5 linked regions of the Ovis aries genome follow. The protein of the gene in region 5 purifies or fractionates together with the protein of the main gene of each other region. This does not show direct contact. Links are inferred from orthologs where the notes say so. Each region holds a gene or a part of one and is shown on either strand. Other genes may lie near its edges.

Evidence for each region.
Region 1: the proteins of DYRK1B (region 5) and FAM53C purify together in Homo sapiens (affinity purification with mass spectrometry; 3 studies listed by BioGRID and IntAct, counting the BioPlex papers as one, with this or other methods). This does not show direct contact. The link is inferred for Ovis aries from reciprocal best matches to the Homo sapiens genes DYRK1B and FAM53C.
Region 2: the proteins of DYRK1B (region 5) and DCAF7 purify together in Homo sapiens (affinity purification with mass spectrometry; 10 studies listed by BioGRID and IntAct, counting the BioPlex papers as one, with this or other methods). This does not show direct contact. The link is inferred for Ovis aries from reciprocal best matches to the Homo sapiens genes DYRK1B and DCAF7.
Region 3: the proteins of DYRK1B (region 5) and FAM117B purify together in Homo sapiens (affinity purification with mass spectrometry; 3 studies listed by BioGRID and IntAct, counting the BioPlex papers as one, with this or other methods). This does not show direct contact. The link is inferred for Ovis aries from reciprocal best matches to the Homo sapiens genes DYRK1B and FAM117B.
Region 4: the proteins of DYRK1B (region 5) and LZTS2 purify together in Homo sapiens (affinity purification with mass spectrometry; 3 studies listed by BioGRID and IntAct, counting the BioPlex papers as one, with this or other methods). This does not show direct contact. The link is inferred for Ovis aries from reciprocal best matches to the Homo sapiens genes DYRK1B and LZTS2.

What each region holds. Positions count from the first base shown.
Region 1 is NC_056058.1:47,411,222-47,414,607, forward strand, and holds part of FAM53C (protein FAM53C), read left to right. Parts: 5' UTR 1-79; coding exon 80-157; exon of another isoform or gene 158-543; coding exon 544-601; exon of another isoform or gene 602-1,604; coding exon 1,605-2,389; exon of another isoform or gene 2,390-3,308; coding exon 3,309-3,386.
Region 2 is NC_056064.1:47,596,361-47,600,666, forward strand, and holds the start of DCAF7 (DDB1- and CUL4-associated factor 7), read left to right. Parts: upstream 1-1,499; 5' UTR 1,500-1,731; coding exon 1,732-1,869; intron 1,870-4,306. UniProt on the Homo sapiens protein: Involved in craniofacial development. Acts upstream of the EDN1 pathway and is required for formation of the upper jaw equivalent, the palatoquadrate. The activity required for EDN1 pathway function differs between the first and second arches.
Region 3 is NC_056055.1:204,885,995-204,889,506, forward strand, and holds part of FAM117B (protein FAM117B), read left to right. Parts: intron 1-2,255; coding exon 2,256-2,407; intron 2,408-3,512.
Region 4 is NC_056075.1:21,595,498-21,599,587, reverse strand, and holds the start of LZTS2 (leucine zipper putative tumor suppressor 2), read right to left. Parts: upstream 2,804-4,090; 5' UTR 2,704-2,803; exon of another isoform or gene 2,434-2,703; intron 2,211-2,433; exon of another isoform or gene 405-2,210; intron 30-404; exon of another isoform or gene 1-29. UniProt on the Homo sapiens protein: Negative regulator of katanin-mediated microtubule severing and release from the centrosome. Required for central spindle formation and the completion of cytokinesis.
Region 5 is NC_056067.1:48,790,038-48,794,308, forward strand, and holds the start of DYRK1B (dual specificity tyrosine-phosphorylation-regulated kinase 1B), read right to left. Parts: upstream 2,808-4,271; 5' UTR 2,654-2,807; coding exon 2,578-2,653; intron 1,316-2,577; coding exon 1,152-1,315; intron 142-1,151; coding exon 22-141; intron 1-21. Other genes in the region: FBL (rRNA 2'-O-methyltransferase fibrillarin), read right to left, coding at 3,861-3,885, 3,968-4,113.

The sequences.
Region 1 (3,386 bases), on a different chromosome or scaffold from region 5:
TGAGTGAGGTCTGGAAGAACAACAGGGAAGACATCCATCATTTGCTCCAAAGTGTGCAAGTCAAATCCTGGGGAGAATCATGATAACCCTGATCACTGAGCAGCTACAGAAGCAGACTCTGGATGAGCTGAAATGCACACGCTTCAGCATCAGTCTGGTAAAAGACAGTCTTCCCACTTCTCTAAGACCCCCTTGCCCTTTTTTCTGAGGCTATTTGTTGTTACTACTTCACCCTTGTCCTGCGTTGTATGAATCATGGTACTTGTACTGGATGTGCCCGCTAAAGGCTCAAAACCTAGCCCAAAAGGAAGGGGGCAAGGTTTTTCTTACTGTTAAGAGAAGGGCCACTAAAATTTGGGTGGAGAAGGGTTTGAGATACTGGAAGATGTGAATTATTTTACTCACTAACTTTGGGAGGATAAGAAGAGAACACTTAGATGTCCCTAATATCCCTATAGCCCATGAATTGCAGGGGTGAGCTGAAGGGGCTTCCTGGAACTCTGTCCTGATCTTGAATCATGATGGATATTCTGTGTCTCTTAGCCTTTGCCTGATCATGCAGACATCTCCAACTGTGGGAACCCTTTCCAGCTTGTGTCTGGTAAGACATGATGTGTTTATGTGTGTGTATGCCCATGCCTCCATCCACGTTTCTTTTATTGGTTTTCCATAACCAGGTCTAGCTAGCCTGCCTCCACAATTTTCTTAAATAGGAAAAGTGTTAATCTGAAAAAAGTGCCCCTTCCTTTTCTATCTACCGAGCTTCTATCACCTCCCTAAAAGTAATTCCTTTTATTAGTTTCTTGTCTATTCAACCAGAGTTTTTGTTTTTGTTTTTTCACAAATAGAATCAAATAAAAATGTAAATTTTTTTTATTCACACTCTTTTAATACAAAAGGTTGGATTCTGTATATTTGGAACTTTCTTTTTAAACTAATCATAATAAAACTAGAAGATCTTTCCATGTAAGTATGTTGAGCGTTTCCTTGTGGGTGGCCAGACCCAGAGGAACACAAGCACCATCAAAGGCCTTTCCCACTGTACCCTCCCCACCCTTGCCTTCACTAAGAATACAGATGATCTCTTACCTGCTTGATCACCCTGTCTTGGTGCTTTGACACATAGGAAAGGTAAAGGCTAAGGACGGAGAGTGTAGGCCAGCTTTCCGCAACTCAGGGCTTGGGGGTTGGGGGAGCAAAGTAGAGCTTGGTGGAGTGGAGTGAAAGATGAGCGTGGCACACACACCTTTGCTTCTCTTGACTCATTCTACCTTTGACACGGATTCACAGGCAGTTTATGATTCTATATTTTTAGTTTCAGGTGGTTCCTCGTAATGGAGGCACTATAGTCTGCTGGGTAAAAGATCTAGCTTTAGCATCGGACAAATCTGGTTCTGAACCCTGCTTTGGTCATTTGATTCCTGCATAACTGTTGGCAAGTTACGGAACTTCTCTCATCTGTGAAATCGGGGTAGTGATAGTACCTAACTCATGAAGTTTAGGGGAAACCTCACATAAAGCTCACTATGTTTTGTAGCACATAGTAAGCTCTTGAAAATATATTAGCTATCATTAATTCTGTCTTTATTATGAATGCCTTCCAGAAGGTGCTTCCTGGAGGGGCCTGCCCCACTGTTCCTGTGCCGAGTTCCAGGATAGCCTCAACCTCAGCTACCACCCCTCAGGCTTGAGCCTGCACCTCAGACCACCCAGCCCAGGAAGTTCCCCACAGGAGCAGTCCCTCTCCCAAGTCCTAAGCCCTGAGCCCCCAGACCCAGAAAAGCTTCCTGTGCCCCCTGCCCCTCCATCTAAGAGGCACTGCCGCTCACTCTCAGTGCCCGTGGACCTGTCTCGCTGGCAGCCAGTGTGGCGGCCCGCCCCCTCCAAGCTGTGGACTCCCATCAAGCACCGGGGCAGTGGTGGAGGGGGTGGGCCACAGGTGCCTCACCAGAGCCCCCCGAAGCGGGTCTCCAGCCTCAGGTTCCTCCAAGCTCCCAGTGCCTCGTCTCAATGTGCCCCAGCCCACAGACCCTACAGCCCCCCTTTCTTCAGCCTGGCCCTAGCCCAAGATTCTTCTCATCCCTCTGCCGCCTCCCCACAAAGTGGCTCCTGGGAGAGTGATGCTGAGTCCCTGTCACCTTGCCCACCCCAACGCCGCTTCTCCCTGTCACCCAGCCTGGGCCCACAGGCAAGCCGCTTCTTGCCCTCTGCCCGGAGCTCCCCTGCATCCTCCCCAGAGCTGCCCTGGCGACCTCGAGGCCTGCGCAATCTTCCCCGAAGCCGCTCACAGCCTTGTGATCTTGATGCCCGCAAAGCTGGGGTCAAGCGGCGCCATGAGGAGGACCCTCGGCGGCTGCGGCCTTCCTTGGACTTCGACAAGATGAATCAGGTGGGACCGGCAAGACCAGGGAAGCTAGGATGGGAGTAGCGAAGACTGTTCCATTTTCACTTGTAAAGTGTCCTCTAGCTCCAGGCCCTCCTGACATGGCCTCCCCTGGCACTCCTGTCTGCCTGAGCCTTGGCTAAGGGTTGTCTACCATCTCAGTTTGCCCAGGATTATCCTTGTGTTAGCATTGAAAGTCCTGTGTCCTGTGAAATTCCTGTTCTGGGAGTTCCAGAGAAACTTATTGGACCCATGTTAAACCTTCCAACAGAGATCCCAGATTGTCCTACCGGAGGCATCTTCCCTCTTTATGCATGGGTCAGAAAAGCCCCATCATTAGTGCCCTGCCCCTTTTCATGCAAGGCTGGTTTTGTCCCTTGCCCTTCGCTGCTTCACGTGGGCCTGTGAGGGCTTAAGCAGAATAGGCTGCTGCGTCACTCATTCACTCAACAAGTGTTTTTTGTCTTCCCAATGTGAGTACAGTTGTTGTAGGCACTTGCCCACTCTTTTCATATTCTTCCTTCTAGACCACTGGGTCATAAACCGCTTTGAGAACTTACTTATTCATAGTCATTCGTTCAATCAGTCAGCAAATGTTATTGAATATACATAACAGACTCCGACTAGGCACTAGCAATATAGGAGTGAAACAAGCCGTCAGTCAGTACTCCTACACACATGAAGTTTATAAACAGGCTTCTAATCTTGAATCTGATAGAAACTATGGGCTCTTTTCCTCAAAAAAATATGCATGTACACTAAATTTTCAAAATTTTATCTGGGAGTTATGACCTCACCTTAACACATAGGACTCCTGCTTTCAAGGGTAACCAAGAGGGGTACTTTGAAATACAGCTTGGGCAGGGTTCTCTGGGAAGTTAACATCTTTCTTTGCCTTAATTTTGTTTGTTTGTTTGTTTGATAGAAACCATACTCAGGAGGTCTCTGTCTCCAAGAAACAGCCCGGGAAGGCAGCAGTATCTCTCCACCATGGTTCATGGCC
Region 2 (4,306 bases), on a different chromosome or scaffold from region 5:
ACACACACACACACACATAATTTAAGGGTTACACTTTAAGGGTTACACTTATTAGTACTGGGTTTTTCAAAACAACATAAATACTTCTATTTAAATTTTTATAGAAACTAAAATTTTATTGACATACACCTCTTAAAAGAGGGAATTTTTCTCTCAATTAGTTCATGTGAGTGGATAAATATTATTTTTTTGTTACAGTAAAACATAATAAGCCCAGAGAAAGTTGTTCACATAAGGAAGCAGAAGTTACTTTAAGGGGATTGTTATATATATAACAGTGACACTCAGTTCTTTGAATTCTGAGTTGTGTTAACAATCACATCACTAAAAGCTATACTTAATGATGTGTTAAGTCACTTCAGTCGTGTCTGACTCTTTGCAACCCCATGGACTGTAGCCCGCTAGGCTCTGCTGTCGATGGGGTTTTCTAGGCAAGAATACTGGGCTGGGTTGCCATTTCCTCCTCCAGGAGATCTTCCCCACCCAGGGATCGAACCTGAGTCTCCTGCATTACACAGGCGGGTTTCTTTGTACCACTAGCGCCACTTGGGAAGGCCCATACTTAATGTTATCACCAACAATTCATTACAATCCTCCTTTAGTTGTTTTGAAAGCAAACCATTGGAAACTATTTAAATTATAAACAGACGTTACCTAGAATCGGACCTTTCTCCATTTCAAACTGAAGACACAGATACAGCATTTAGGGCTGGATTAGCAATTGCCTTGGTACCCTAGCGGGAAGGATGAAATGGGGAGGAATAAACAGTGAGAGCCACGCTGGTGTGGCTGCCGCCTGCTGAGGGCCGACCCTAGAATTCCGAGCGTTTTTACGATGACAAGGAGAGCGCACGGACTGTAGCTGGGCCTGGGCCCGAGTACACATCGGTGTGTCCATGTGAAAACGGTGTGTTCGCGGCCTGTCCTTGGGGCGCTGGGGAACAACATTACGGCTTAACTGGGACGCTGGCACGAGCGGGGAATTTCGCGTTCCGGCACAGGCCAGGCAGCCAGGCCACCAAACTCAGAGCCCTGAAATACAGCAGGTCCTCCGGTAAGGGAGAATTTTCATTTTTACTCGACAGCGTGGAGTAGCTTCTGGGACTAGCAGCTGCAGTGGGGAAATGAGAGCAGGTCACACAAAAAGTCTCACTTTCAGACACTTGGCCTAGAACTCGGAGTCCCACTGCCTCGCTCGCCAGCCGCTTGGCCACCCACGCCCCCATTCACCCGCACTGCGCCGTTATCTCTCTGACTGACACCTTTGTCAGCCAATGATCTTTGGGATTGTGTAAGCGCCTGCCCCACCTCCGGAGTTGGGCGGGGCAAGTGGCTGGAATGACAAACACTTAGGCCAATAGCAAGGAGGTTTCAAAAGCTTAGGGCACAATAGCCAATGAGAGGAAGGAACCGTTCGAAAAGACGTGTCAGACAGCCAACGGCCAGCGGCGCTGCGGGGGTCGCGTGGCTTCCGTTCCGAGTGGGCGGGGCAGTGTCTCAAACGGAAGGTGGTTGTTGTCCGAGCCAAAGCTGGTTTGAAACTGGGGGTCGGGCCCGGCAGTCGTTGTCTGTTGCCACCGCCCCGCTTCCGGGCTAGGCCGTCCCTGCCCGCCCCCGCCCCGCCTCCCTTCGGACCCCTGGGTCCCAGGCCCGGCTCCCTGCCCGTTTTGCGCCCGGCTCGCGACAGCCCGCTCCCGTCCCGGTCCTCACTGCGGCCCCTTCGCCTCCACCATGTCACTGCACGGCAAACGGAAGGAGATCTACAAGTATGAAGCGCCCTGGACCGTCTACGCCATGAACTGGAGCGTGCGGCCCGACAAGCGCTTTCGCCTGGCGCTGGGCAGCTTCGTGGAGGAGTACAACAACAAGGTGGGCCGGGCAGGGGCTCGGAACCCGGCTGGCGGGGAGCGGGCCCCGGGAGCGCCCTTTCTGGGCCGGAGCCCAGACCCCAGGACCCTCCTGCGGACTTGCCTTAGCACCACGGAGCGGTTCCTCTGTGTCTGGTCCTGTGCAGAGAGTTTCGCTCTCTTTATCGCATTTAATCCTTGAAACATTCCTGGGTAGTCAAGAGTGTAGTTACCCCCATTTTACTGATGGGGAAACTGAGGCACCGTGTTGCAGCTTACCCGGGTCAGTTATTTCGTGACGGAAACAGGTCTCAAACCCAAGTTTACACCCCAGAGCTATGCGATTTATCACTAGTATCCGCTCCCCTGTTGCACTGCTTCAGTTTAGGGGGCAGAAGATGGATGAGGGAATGATGGCTGTGAAGAAAATGCGCTTACGATGGTCATTCCCTTCTGGCCACACTAGATTTCTGTTAGGTCTGGTTATTGCGCAGGCTTTCCCGCCCCCTACACCCACCCGCAGGTACTATTATTGATGGATTTGTCGGGATTGCCATCGCTGTTGGGACCTCGTGTTCCTCCTCTTCACCGCGATCTCCTTTTGGAAATCTTGACCAGTGATCCCGCCGTTGTTTTCCAAATAGAGAAGGATGTTAACTTGGTGTATCTTTTCTTGGCATCTTTCTTGCTAATACAGATATATAGCCTTGAGCAGTAAGTCTTTCTGGACATCCGGAATTTGAGAATCCTTCATAGAAAGCAGTAGGAGGAAACTTTAAGCTGGTAGTGCAGTATAAATTTGTTTTTGAAAGTTGTTGAATAAGTTAGTGGAAGAATTTTCTTTCCTTGGCTCTTTAAATCTCTTCCATTTTGTATTAGAGTAAACGTGGTGATTGGTCGTAATCAGAGCGACTGAGAGCCGTGCTTAGCGGTGTTTAAAGCCTGTACACCTGCTTGACACCATGAGCACTGTGACTTAGGAAGAATAGCCTATGTGGATGGTGACAGGCATGGTGCAGGGAAGAAAGGCAGGTGCTCTAGGGTTGGCTGCCCTGTCTAGTCCACTGACTGGCGATGGGGCACTGCACAGGTCAGTTTTATTATTTCTCACCCACAGATTGTTGTAGGCAAGTTCTTTTTTAAACATAAAGGTCCTGTAAAAAACATTTGAACATTGTAACTTTGTTTACAGATTTTCAGGAGCACATCTGTTTCTTTGGAGTTGTCTTAACCTTTCTGGAATCCCCTTTAAGAAATTGATGAAAGTGATGGACTCTCATTACCCAAACATCATATATATATAATTTACAAACAAATCCCAGGGAATTTGCACTGATCTTGGGGCTCATCCATTGCCCACAGAAAGCAGAGAGTCCTGACCAGACTTAGCTTTAAAAGACATAGCTTTATTTCCTTTTCTCGGTTGCCTCTTTCTTCCTAATGGCTGGGTTGTGCATAGCAGAGTGGGAAATAGAATTCAAGGTACTGATGTGTGAAGTGGAATAGAACTGTTGTTTTAAGAATACATGTTGGGAAGAAAAAAAAAGTAAAACGTATCTTTCAAAGGACTTGAGTCTTTCACACCGATTTTTTTTGCCTTGCAAGTTCTTGCAGGGTCATATTTTGGGGGGCGGGGGGGCGAAGTAGAAAAGAATATCTTTATTGCTTTGTCAAGGCAAAAGGGGCCACAGTGGGCTAATGCCCTCGTAACTGTGTGTTCCAGCCTGGAGGGAGCAGTGAGAAGTTTTATAGAAATGGTTCAAAGAGAGGGTGATCAGCTCGTGGGCATTCTTCCGATGGATTGTGATTGGTGGGTGGTGAGGTAAGTGGGAGTCAGCATCATCAACCTTCTGGTTGCAGCTGCTCTGGGCTCTGCATGCTTGTGAGAGCATACAGTCAGCTTCCTCCACCTGGGGGGGAGTTTCAGTATTGAGCCCCAGGTTCTTGATGTCTTATCTCAGGAAGAGTTTGGTGAGAGACAAAGTGATAGGTAAGAAGTGGATTTATTAAAGAGAAACACACTCCACAGACAGAGTGTGGGCCATCTCAGAAGGTGAGAGTGGCCTCACAATCTAGGAGCTCCGTTTCCAAAAGGGGAGAAACTGAGCTACACTGTTAGGCTGCTGGTGCAATCAGTGGAGTAATTGGTGTCAAACCTCGGTTGCAGGAACTCCACCCCAAAGTTTGTCCTTCCATTTAGTAACTGTATGGAGCTCCTTCTTTGTGCCAGGCACACAGGCAGTGCGGTTTTAGGGAGATGCAAACTGCTAATCCTAGGAGCAGCAAGCAAGTGGTCACCTCTGTCTTAACTCACTTGCGTGGTGTAGGCAATGCAGCATCTTGCCTTCTGTTTTTATGTCCCCACCTATCTAGGTTAGAGTTCTTAACGTGTGTGTGTGCGTGTGAGAGAGAGAGAGATGGACACCTTTGGCACTTTGAAGCCAACAGACCTCTGTTCA
Region 3 (3,512 bases), on a different chromosome or scaffold from region 5:
GTAACTTAGTCTTTTTAATTTCTAGGGCTTAGCACTGGCTTCCAGACCCTTAGTAAATGTTTACATGAAGGGAGTTCAAAAGAAAATGTTTAGTGTTTTTATGTGTGACCACATATAATTTTTCTATTCTCCCTTGTGTTATGGAAAATCAGTCTTAGAAAGTCTAGTTGAAAAGTCAGTGCTTGGATAATATAAAATCTTGATGAAATCAGACCTATTTGATTAATACACTGAACAGTGATGGAAGCAATGTTGTAGTTAAGGAAGAGAAGGGCCAGACAGCTTTTAACAATTGGATTTTAATGAATATACTCCAGTTTACATAGTCTGTGTCCCTTTTTTGTGGCCAAGAACAATAGTTTTGTGACCATCCCGGTAGAGATTCATTTTTTAGTTAAAGGAAAAATCATGTACATGTATATTTATTGCTTTTCACTTGTTATAGGTGAGTATATGCTTCCTTGAACTTATGGATATGTACTGTATTTATTTTGTGTTTAACTATAAAAGGAAGACACTGCAGAGATATGGTTAGCATTTGCAACATTTAGGCATTGTTTTAGTGAAATAATTGTGCCATTTTGAAAACAAATTATGTATCTGAGGCATATCTTGTGAAGCAACTTTTATGATTATCAGCAACACAGCTGATAAAACTATTATCTTGGTGGAATTGAATCTCTTATTATTTGGGTCACATAACCAACAACTGAACTTTTATACTTGTAACTATATAAGACCCTTGTCAAGAAATAATGTGATATGATTAGAAGAGAGGCATCCTAAAATGTTTTCATATATGGCCTTAAGAAAAACAAGGTATTTGTTATATAGAGAGAGCTAGAATGGTAGCATTATAATGTTCATGTTTCATATTTTTAAATCCTTTAATTTAAAAATTTTTGTAATATAATTAGCTAAGCCTATTACTTTCCCCCTTCAAAAAAGAAAAAAAAAGGAAATAGAGTATTTTTTCTGTATTGCTCTAACTTCCTATTACCTCTAGTTTCTTTTCTTTTTTTTTTTATAGTTTTTATTTTTGGCGTATATCTAAATACATATCCTGTATCTTGAAATGGAAAATATATTTGCATATATGTCTTCAAGTATAGCTCCTATAGGCTGGTTAGTTTGGTTTCTTGAAGTCTATTTATTATAACAAAACTCAGTAAGACATGTGCCTGACAGAGCTGATTAAAGTGAAATTTTACCTGTAACTTTATCTTAGCTGCCTTATTTCCTTTTGAGTGAGTATAGGTGGTGTAATAACAAGTGATATTTACCTATTACACGTACTTAATCTTAAACCCAAGGTGAGCATTTTAAAAATGGGTAGATAAGGATGGTGGCCTTTCTTATTATGCCTTTTTGTCTCTTAGGACACATTAAGCTCGTAAATCCTCTCATGGGTAATATTGATACATTTGTCTTATTTTCTGTTTTTTTGTAGAGATTAATTGTAGTTGTAAGAAATACAGAGATCTTTTGTACGTTTAGCCTATTTTCCCCAGTGATAACATTTTTGTAGGATTACGTAGGATTTTGACGTTGTACAAACCACTGTTCTTACTCAGATTTCTTCCGTTTTTACTTGTACTTGTGTGTATGTGTTTTAAATTCTCTACTGCTTAATCTTCTTTTTATGTTTGTACATCCCCACTACAGTCAAGATGCTGAATAGTTTCCTGTCACCAAAGGGTCCTGCATATTGCCCTTTTGTAACATCTGCTCCTCTCCTGTACTTCACTTTCCCTCTTCCTATCTGCTAGTGGATCCCTGGCAACCATTAATCTTTCTTCCATTTCTAACATTTTGTCATGTCAAAAATGTACAAATGAAGTCATAAGTAGCCATTTGAGAGTGACTGTTTTTACTTAATATGTCTGGAAATGAAATGAAGTTGCTTCAGTCATGATCAACTAAGTCTTTGCGACCCTGTGGACTGTAGCCTGCCAGGCTCTTCTGTCCACAGGATTTTCCAGGCAGGAATACTGGAGTGGGTTGCCATTTCCTTCTCCAAGGGATTTTCTCGACCCAGGGATTGAATCTGAGTCTCCCGCATTGCAGGCAGACTCTTTATCTTCTCAGCCACCAGGAATCCCTTAATGTGAGAGCCATCCAAGTTTGTGTGACTCAGTAGCTTATTCCTCTTTGTCACTCACATTTTATATTTAAGTTAGAGAAACTCTACCTAGTTTCTGCTTTGTTTCCTTCCTAAGCTATTTTTTAAATAAATGTATCTGTCTTAAATCTAGGGGACAAAACGAGACCACCTTCCTCCAGCCCCTCTAGCATCATCCGCCGTACCTCCTCCCTGGATACACTCGCTGCTCCGTACCTAGCAGGGCACTGGCCTCGTGATGGTCATGGGCAAGCTGCTCCTTGCATGAGGGACAAGGCCACACAGGTAGGTTTATTACAGTTCTTATCTTGAAGTGTTTCACTCTGAAACCATTTCTCATAATATTGTTTATTCTACTCTGCTCTCAAATTCTTAAAACTAGTATGTATTAGCATTATCTGGGAAGCTTATCAAAAATGCAGATCCCCAGGCTTGACCTTGAATGTTCTCCAGTAGGTTTTGGTTGAGTCTTAAGAATGTGCATTTGAAACAGTTCTCAAAGGAATTCTGATATATGCAGTAATTTATGGACATGTTTTCTCTCACTTTTTTATAGTTTAGAACATCACAGTAAATTTAATTTATGGAATTTGGACTTAAAAATTTGTTACAATAAAGGTTACTTTTTCATCCCACCTTATATTTTTGTGCCAAAAATCTTCATGTTTTGGGAAATGGGGATGATTTTATATTGCTGATAGAATCTATAAATGTAGATATCCTGACAAAGGGACTCTGGAAACAAAGTTTTGTACTTTTAGATTTATAAAAAGTTTTAATTAAAGGGATCTTAAAGGATCATTTGATCTAACTCCTAGTTTTACGGGTGAGGAAACTAAAGTCCAAGATCATAAAGCCAGTTGTTGACTGTGTCTTAGTTGGGTGTAGTTTCTGTTGCAGCAACTTAACTACAATTATAATTTAATTAAATCTTTGTATAATCATTTAATGTTTCTCATAGTCATTAGATGGCAAGCCCATGAAGGCAGGAACTGTCTGGCTTGCCCATTTTTATATTTTCATCCTCAGAAATTAGTACTATACTAGATGGAATAAGCACTCCAGGAATATTTGCAATGGATTGAATGAGCAGAACAGTTAAAGCTTTTTGGCTAGTGAAGAATGAAAATCATTTTAAAGAGTTAAAAGATCCTTGATACTGACTGTTGAAAATCAACTAAGGTACATCTTGATTTAGACTTTAAATTTACGTCACTTGATGGTTGCTTGATCTCAGCACTTTATGAGAGAGCGTTCTTTTACAGGACCAAGTACATACACTTTGCAATGGTTTTTAGATTTACATATTGGTTTCCAGAATTCCATTAGTTTGTTTTCTGTTTTCTGTTCTGATACTCTTAAAACCGAGTCCCACTATTAGGGTAGATAC
Region 4 (4,090 bases), on a different chromosome or scaffold from region 5:
CTGCCGCGCGCCGCCACTCGGAGCGGCCCGGTCCGACCCGGCCCCGCCTCCGCGGCGCCCCCAGCCCGGCCTGGCCCCCGCCCGGCCCAAGTGGGCGGTGCAGCGCGGGGGAGGGTCCGAGGGGTGACCCCGCCCCCGGGGCGCGGACACGCGCAGGCACCCGGCGTCACGCGTGTCCGGCGGGGCGCACGCTGGAGCTACGCAGCAGGACTCAGATTCCCTCCCTCCGAGGAGCGATGGCTGTGTGTCTGGGGCTCGGTCGGTTCAGGACTAGGCGGTGGCGGGTCACCCTTTACCCTTACTTGGGCCCCGGGGCCAGCGGCAGCTGGTCATTGTTCGAGCACAAAGGGCCAGGCGCCGCGGCAGCCGCCCTTCCCCCTCCGCTCCTCTAGTCGATGCCTCACCCCTAGGCACACTCTCCGGCTTCAGAGTCCAGAGAAGGAGGTTGGGGGTCACCTAACCCCCAAGTCTTGGCCCTGCGTCCTGGCACAAGTCGGGGGCCGACGCTTGGTGGGTGCCTGCCCCACCCCCAGCCGCTTGCAGAAGGCACGCTAGGATTTGCGGAGGCGGCGCCACCTGGCGGCCCGTTCGGAGAACACAGCCACCCCCAAACTTGGGGGGCCCCTACCCTTCTCCCCAGTGCTGTACTCCCTCTCGGGAGAGCCCCGGCCTTCCTCGAGCGCGGTTCTTTGCTCCCCAACCTTCCCTCAGACTCATTTGCTAAGAGGTAAATGCTCAAGAGAGAGACGTCCCCTGGGCCCCCAAAAGTCACCCCAGTGGGGGAGCTGGTCCAAACCTACAGGCCAAGCTTACGCCAGCCTCACAGCAGACAACGTTCCACTGTCTTCTCAGGGTCAAGAATACTCTCACCCTCTGGCAAACAACACAATCTAAACACCCACACGACCTTTCCCACACTCAGTCTCAGACACAATCACTCAGTCTGTCTGGTCCATCAGAAGGATCCATGTCCCTTCTTGCCATAATCAGGCCAACTCAGAGATACACACTTGGTATCACGGCTAGTTGTGCACAAGCTTTCACAGCTCAAGTTCCTTTGCACCCAGTCACAGTCTTGACTATACTTGCCTCCCAAGCTTTTTTCACACTATGACAGTCTTTTTCACAGTCACAAAGACAACTTTTTAAACATACACGTCGTATTTCACAAACATTTTATCACACAGACTTTCCCATAGGGGTTTCTGTGACCTAACCAGGTCAGCTGATGCCCGCATCCCTGGGCAAGGACAGCCTCCTGCCCCCTAACCCCGCCCCCCAGAACTAAGGCCTGCCAGAGCTCCTCTGCCCCAGGAAGGAGCATTCCCCCCGCCCCGCCCCCCCCTTCCAGGCCGCAGCCTGGCCGGCTCTCAGTTCTATTTTTAGCTCCATGGAAAGAGTTGTTTTCTTTCTTTTTCCCTGGAAAGGGAAACATAGCCCAGCCACCCTCAGGCTCACCCTAGACCCTCTTGCCTCACAAGTACAGACTGAGCCCCACCCCCATAGAGACCCCCTCTTCTGGCCTTGCCCTGATCCCAGCCTCCTGGGGCACCAGGAGCCTCCTCCCCTTTCTGGCAGCCTGCCCAGAAGCTCAGGCAGCAGCTGGGCTCAGCGTGTGTGGAGGGGTAGGGAGGGTGGTGGAGAGGGAGGCCGAGGGCCGCTGCCCACTCTCATTCGCTGGGGGGAGGGGGCCGTGCTCCCTTCTACCAGAGGGAGACGGGCCCACTCTGGTATAGAGAGGATGTGTACGGTCATGCATTCTCTGGGGAAGGGGGACTCCTACTCTTGCGTGAGTGGGCTTTCTGCTCCTACTTTGAGGGGAGGAGCTCCCAGTGCCGCAAGGAGGAGTGTAGTAAGAAAGGGGACCCACAGGCGTTCGCGCAGATGCTCCCCGGGGCTGGAGGTCCCGGCGGAGGCTGCTGTACACTGCCAGAATTGCCCCCCTCTCGGGTATCTTCAGGAATGGGGGCAACATGTTCCGGAGAAGGAAGGTGAGGAGCCCAGGTAACCAACCCTCTCAGTCCAACAGTCTGTTGTCCTCCTTCGCTACCCCAACTCCGGGGGGCGTTGTGCTCCCATTCCTGGGGAAGGGCTTATCCCCTCCAAGGGGAGAATGGAATACAGCCCGGCAATGTATCTTTCAAACTCGCTTAGTACTGCGGAGGGAGGTTCCCGCCGCGAGGCTCCCCCCGTACAGCCCACGGGTCTGCGAAGCGATCACGTGCTCAACGCCTGTTTACGTCTTAGTCTTCACCTGCGGGCAGCAAGGAAGCCGGAACCTCCGGAGGCGTCCCACCTGGCCCGCCCCCGTCCGCGGTCACTGGGAGGCCCTTTTCTCCCACCCTCACCAAGTACGCGACGGCAGCACACCCTGCCCGCTGGGGGTCCGCGCGGGCCAGCGGCGCTGATCCGCCAACAGCAAGCGAAACTCACTAGGCGCGTCCGCCCCGCAGTGCACGTGTATTCAGGTGTCTCCAGTACGCGCGTGGGTCTGTGTGCACGCGTGTGTGCGCCCGTCGGTGTGAGTTTTCGTGTAGGTTCCCTGTTCAGACTCTTCGCCCGCGGCCCCTGGACTGAGGACCCGTCTCTTCACCCCAATCCCCGGCTTCCCGGGATCGGGAAATTTCACTCCGGGGCGGGGGTGTGCAGGAGGCGAGAGTTCCTACACCGCCGCGGCGCCCCCACTCACTCACCCAGCGCTACCTTAACCGCCGTTCCAGCTCCCGCTGGGCTCCTGACCCAGGGCCGGCACCTCCTGGTCGCAGATCCGCCGGCTCCCCAGCGCGCTCGGCCCGGGCTTGGTGGAGGGGGCGGGGCGGCTGAGGCCGCGCCCCCGACCAAGGCAGGGGAGTGGTCTGCCCAGCACCCCCTCAGCAGCAGATCTGGTACCCTGCCAAGCAGTGTTGCGACGGTGGCCCAAGACTGCCCCTCGGACTTCTGACTTCGCAGCTTCTGGAACTGGCTTTCGATCTAGGAAGGGGCCAGCGGCGCCACAGCTAAGCTAAGCTACCTGGCTGCCCTAACCAAGTTGGCTATAGGGCTTTACTGCCACTATCCTCTGGTCTGTAGGGAGCCCAGCCTGGTCCACTCTCAGCCCACTCCCCAGACACAGGGAAAACCCCTGGGAAGCAGACGAAGAAGGCTCGGATTTCACCGAAACAGACCCCACCCTTCCTCACACACCTCTGAGGTTGGGGCTGCTCAAGCAGAACCAACACCTCCCCCTCCCCTGGAGTAGGTGTCTGCCCGGTGAGCAGGCTTGCCAGTTTTGCCCCCCGCCCCCCACCAGAGTGTAGTCAGGCTTCTCTTAGACTTATAAAGTTCCACCCACAGGCACAAACAGGAAGTTGACCTGTATTGCACCAAAGGGTCCCTCCCTCCATGGCACCCAAGGCAGCCTGTGGGAGGGCAGACCGTGATGTCTACAGGTATTTGGGTCATATCTGCAGCCTGAGTACTTGGGCAGCAGGAGCCCTTTGAGTTGAGTCTCTTCTGAGACCCATCCCCAGTGAAGGGATGGAGGACCAAAGCTGCCCCCTTACAGGCAAGGGGGTTAGAGAATCTGAGGACAAGCCTGCAGATCCAGCTGGATTCTACTGGGCCAGGCTCTCCCTCAGCTCTCAGGAAGATTCCAGTTGGGCACAGGCCGAGTACTGGTTCTAGCCCAGGCAGTTTGCCTCAATCCTCTTAGGTGGGGTATAGAAACAGTGACTCCTAGGGACCTTACATAGGACCCAGGGATTAACTGCTACTTTTTGGGCTCCAGGGGCTCTTGAAATACTTTGGGCTAATTTTCACGTGAGGGGTTTAAGACAGGTGTGTAATGGAATGTGTGTGTGTGTGTAGGGGTGGGGCTGGGGGATCATTAGCTTCCCCTCCTCCCTACCATTCTGGTTTGCTGTGTAGGCTGTCTGCTAGAAGGGTGGGGCAAGACAGGCAAGTGTGTATCTATCCCTCTATCCCCAATTCATAGACCTCATAAAAGTCTCCTTTTGGAAATCCCTGAAAGATTTCCTGAGCACAGAAGACCAGAATGTGGAACCCACATCCTTACAGGTAGGACTGACCTGGTAGTGTGCATCTGGAAGGC
Region 5 (4,271 bases):
TATCCCTGCTCCTCTGCCCACCTCATTGATGTGCTTGTAGGTCTTGATGAGGTCCACGGAGAGCTTGCGCAGCGGGGCCGAGGTCGCGTCTCGGAAGGCCAGGGGCAGCCTCCGCGGCAGGAGCCGTACTTCAGGCAGCACCTGGGGACAGGCAGGGTGACCAGTCGGTGGGCACTGAGGGAGGGCCTCCACCCCTACCTCGAGGGGGCGAACTCTGTGGGCTGTTGGCTCACCATTACCACATGGGTTATTTATCTGGTCACTGTCTGACAACCCCACTAGAATTGAAACTCCCAAAGGACAGAGACTTTACTTCTCTCCCGAGCCTGGAGCAGGGCCTCGCACATAGTGGGTATTCATAAGCAATTTGCTGAGTAAATCACGAAGTGAATGATTTACCCCTGACCTTTCATCACATACCTTGATTCTTTTCTAAACCTCAGGGGGAGAGGTTGGAAACCTGGGCTCTGACCCTCCCCATCCTTCAGTGGAGACCATCCATCCAGGGACTCCCTCCCAGAGGGGCTTCCTATCTTGTTTTATCCTCACCCTTTGGGGCCTCCCCACTCCGACCCTGCACCCCTTCTCTGTGCCTCTCTGCCCGGTTTCTTCACCCTGAGGATCGCGGATCCTCGTACTCCATCCTGTTTCAAGCTCTATAGCCCAGTCTTCAGTCTACCCTTGAAGGTCTTAACCCTGCACCCCCAGGCCCTGCTGGCTCCAAAATCCTTCAGACTCAAGCTTCTTCCCTTTGAACCCCTCCAGATCTTTCACTTTGGATTTTTTTTTTCATTAATGAGTATTTACTGAGTGTTTACTATGTGCCCGGCACTGTTCTCAGCATTTCCAATTGCATTTTATGAACTTGTTTAATCTTCACAACAACCCTGTGAGGAAGGGTTCGGGTCTTATTTGACAGAACAGGGAACTGAAACATGGGGATCCTATGGAATAACCACTGTGCCTGGATTGTAACCCAGGCTCTCCAAATCCCGACTCCTCCAGCGACTCTTCTCTATCTTCCACTTCCACGGCGCCCTTCACGCCCGGCAGACCGTCCCAGGCAACCACATCATCTTTTTTGGCCCCAAGACCCTTCTATCCCAGCCTCCCCCTCCCCCAGGTAGGTGAGGAGCCAGCGGAACGCGTACCTGCGTGTGCTCCTGGGGCCCCGGGAAGCCAGAGAAGGGACCATGGCCTGGTGGGACAGCCATGGTGGGCTCAGAGGGCCGCAGGGGAGCGAGGCCTGGAGCGGGAGCCCGGCTGGGGGGCGCCTTCTCGCATCCTGCACCTCGGCTGCCACCGCCGCTGAGACCTGAGAGGGGGCAGGGTGGGGGGAGAGGGGGGACATGGAACAAAGGGATGTGTTGGCCAGTGCCAAGCGGGAAAGAGGTGGACAGCAGAGAGAAGGCGGGGCACAGAGTGCGGAGAAAAGGGTGCAAGGGGTCAACAGGTGGCAGTGAAGAGCGGACAGAGAGAAGTGGCGGTGGGGGGCACAGCAGAGCCCCCGCGAATGATGACCAGATACATGGAGCAGGCGGCACGGGGAGGGGAACATGGGAAAGGGAACAATCGCGAGCCAGGCAGGGATGTGAGCCGTGACAGGAAAGGACAGAAAGACATGAATAATTGGGGGGAGGAAGAGAAGAGAGAAACCGCAGGCAGCACAGGGAGCTGGGTTCACACTCTCCTCCCCATTTCTACGTATGGCTCTCCTCAGGGCCCCTCCTGTAGTCTGGGAGCGTCAGGACTTTGTCTTACCACAGGACGGTCCCTCCACTTCAAGGTCTACCCTTCCCAGTAGGTCCCCCAATCCAGAGAACTCTAGGCTCCCTCCCAAACCACAGGGGAGTCTTTCGGCCCCCTCCAAATCACAGCAGACTCCTCTACAGGCCCCTAAAACCACACCAGGGTCTTCAGGGAGCTCCCAACCACACCAAGGTTATCTAAGGACCCCTTTATAACAGAGTCCTAACCCCAAGGCATTCTCACCCACCAGGGTACACCCTTCTCAGAGGACCCTCCCCATTTAGTGCCAAGACCTCTTCCATATCATTTCCTCCCACATCAGGGACCACCCCCCCAGTAATTTCCCAAACCATATCCAGTTCCCGCATGCTACACCAGGGCCCTTCTTCACATTACTCCAAGCTGCTCCCCCCTCCCCCACTAGGGCCACTCCTTTGGGAAGCAAGGGGGAGGCGTTTCTATCGGCGCTTTAGAGTGGATCGTCCTTCTCTCCCCTACCATGGATCCTACCCCCACCCTCGCTACCAATATTCCTGTCAGGGCCCTTTCTCCAGTTACTCCTTCACACCAGGGTCAACCCACAGCTGTGCCCATTCCTAGAAGTCCCCCAGAGCCAAATTCGCCAAATATCACAGAGTTCTCCCCTTCCAGAGTATCTTCCACACCAGACTCCTCTCCCCACGGGCCTTCTCCCCTGTCAATCCTTTCTCCCATGCCAAGCCCTGCCACTCCACGATCCCTCCTCTCTCTTGGAGCTCCCCCACAAAGCAATCTCTGCCCCGGGCCCCTCCCACAACAGGACCCTCTCTCCCAGCCTCCACCCCATACCCGGGTCAGGGCTGGCGCGCCCACGGGGGGCTGGAGCGCGATGGGGCCCCCAGTTGGGTGGGCGAGCGGCCAGCATGGCGGTGGTGGCTGTGGTGAGCAGACAGCCGCCTGTCCCGGCCCGGCCGGCCCGGCAAGCCCCGCGGCGGGGAGGGCAAGCGGGACAGGCGGCCCGGTGGGTGACAACAGCAGGCAGCAGCCGCCGCCGCCAGGGGCGGGGAGAGAAGGAAACTAGGGTCAGCCCGGGGCACGCGGGGGAAGGGGAAAGCAGGTGGACGGGGGAGGGGCGAGTTAACCCTCGCCCCGCCGGCCCCGCCCAGCGCAGCCACCCTCCCCAGGGGACCCCGGCGTCCCGCCCCCCACCCTGGAGGCCAGCCCCGGCCAGAGGAGCCCAGGCGGGCGGGGCCGGACCGAACTTGGCAGTCCACACCTACCATGGCAACAACCGTGCCATTGGTCGTTGCTGCCAAGAGACCAACCAATCACAGCGCAGGACGGCGGTTGCTAGGCGACGACGATGCGGCCGGCGGAGCCGAGCCCAAACAAAGGGCGGGAGCGAGGCCCCGCTACCCCCTCCTAAGACTGCTCCCTCCGGCTCGGCCCCTTCCAGGAATCCGACTATGAATAGCCAGGCAAGGCCTGCACCTGCCCGCCGCCCCCCTTCTCTCCTCCTTCGGCCTCGTGCTAAATCTCGCGGCGACGCAGGCAGGGCGGGTCCCAGACTACCCTCCCTCCCCGAGAACGCGTGCTGTCCCCCAGGAGCCGCGTCCTTACCTGAGAGCGCGGGCAAGGGAACTCAAGCTGCTCGGGAAGCCCGAGCTCAGTCTTGCCCACAGGCTGAAGATATCCGGCGAGCGCAGCGAGCCAGGGCCCCGATTACCCAGTAATGCAACCAGCAAAATGGCGACCACAACAAACCGGCCCCCCCGCCTCGGACTCCGCCCCCACCCCCCAAGCTGTTTCCCCTCACGTGACCCAGGGCAGCGCTCCGCGGTTGCGCTCAAAGAACCTTACTGGGATCCATGCGCAGTGAGCTACCGACCCCGCCCAAGCGCCGAAGTCCAAGTTACGGCTGCGCAGGAGGCAGCTAAGAGAGGAGCGTGCGCAGTGCGACCGGGTGGGAGGACTCGCCCCCACCACCAGGCCAGTGGACAGAGCGTGCGAGCGCCCTGTGAATAGACGTCGTCAAGCAATCAGCGGCAAACGGACCGACTGATGAGTCTTTTAATAGAAAAACAAACGTGTAACAGTAGCAACACTCTCTGGCGATCCAGTGGCGCTGGGCTTCAGTTCTTCACTTTGGGAGGTGGCCTGAGAGAAGAAAGTGGACTTAGAAGAGCCCGTCACCACTTTGGGGCACTCGTAACAAGTACTGATGGGGCCTCGTGCTCACCTGTACACACCCACGACCACAGCATGGTCTCTCTCGTACGGCTCTAGGGTCAGCTGCTCCTGGGGCTTCATGTTCTCTTGCTGCATCTTTTTCACTTCAGAGGCAAAGACAGCCTCGGCGGAAGCTGTGGAGTCAATGCAATTAGCCTGCAAAAGAGAGGATTTGAAGTCTGAGGCAAGCTTTGGGATATTCCCCCGTTTTTGTGCTTCTTTAAACCAGCAGAATTTGTTTTTATTGGAGACTAGGCTTTGGAAATATACGGAAAGACTTTGTTAGAGAAGTTTTCGATTTGGTTTGGGTTTGG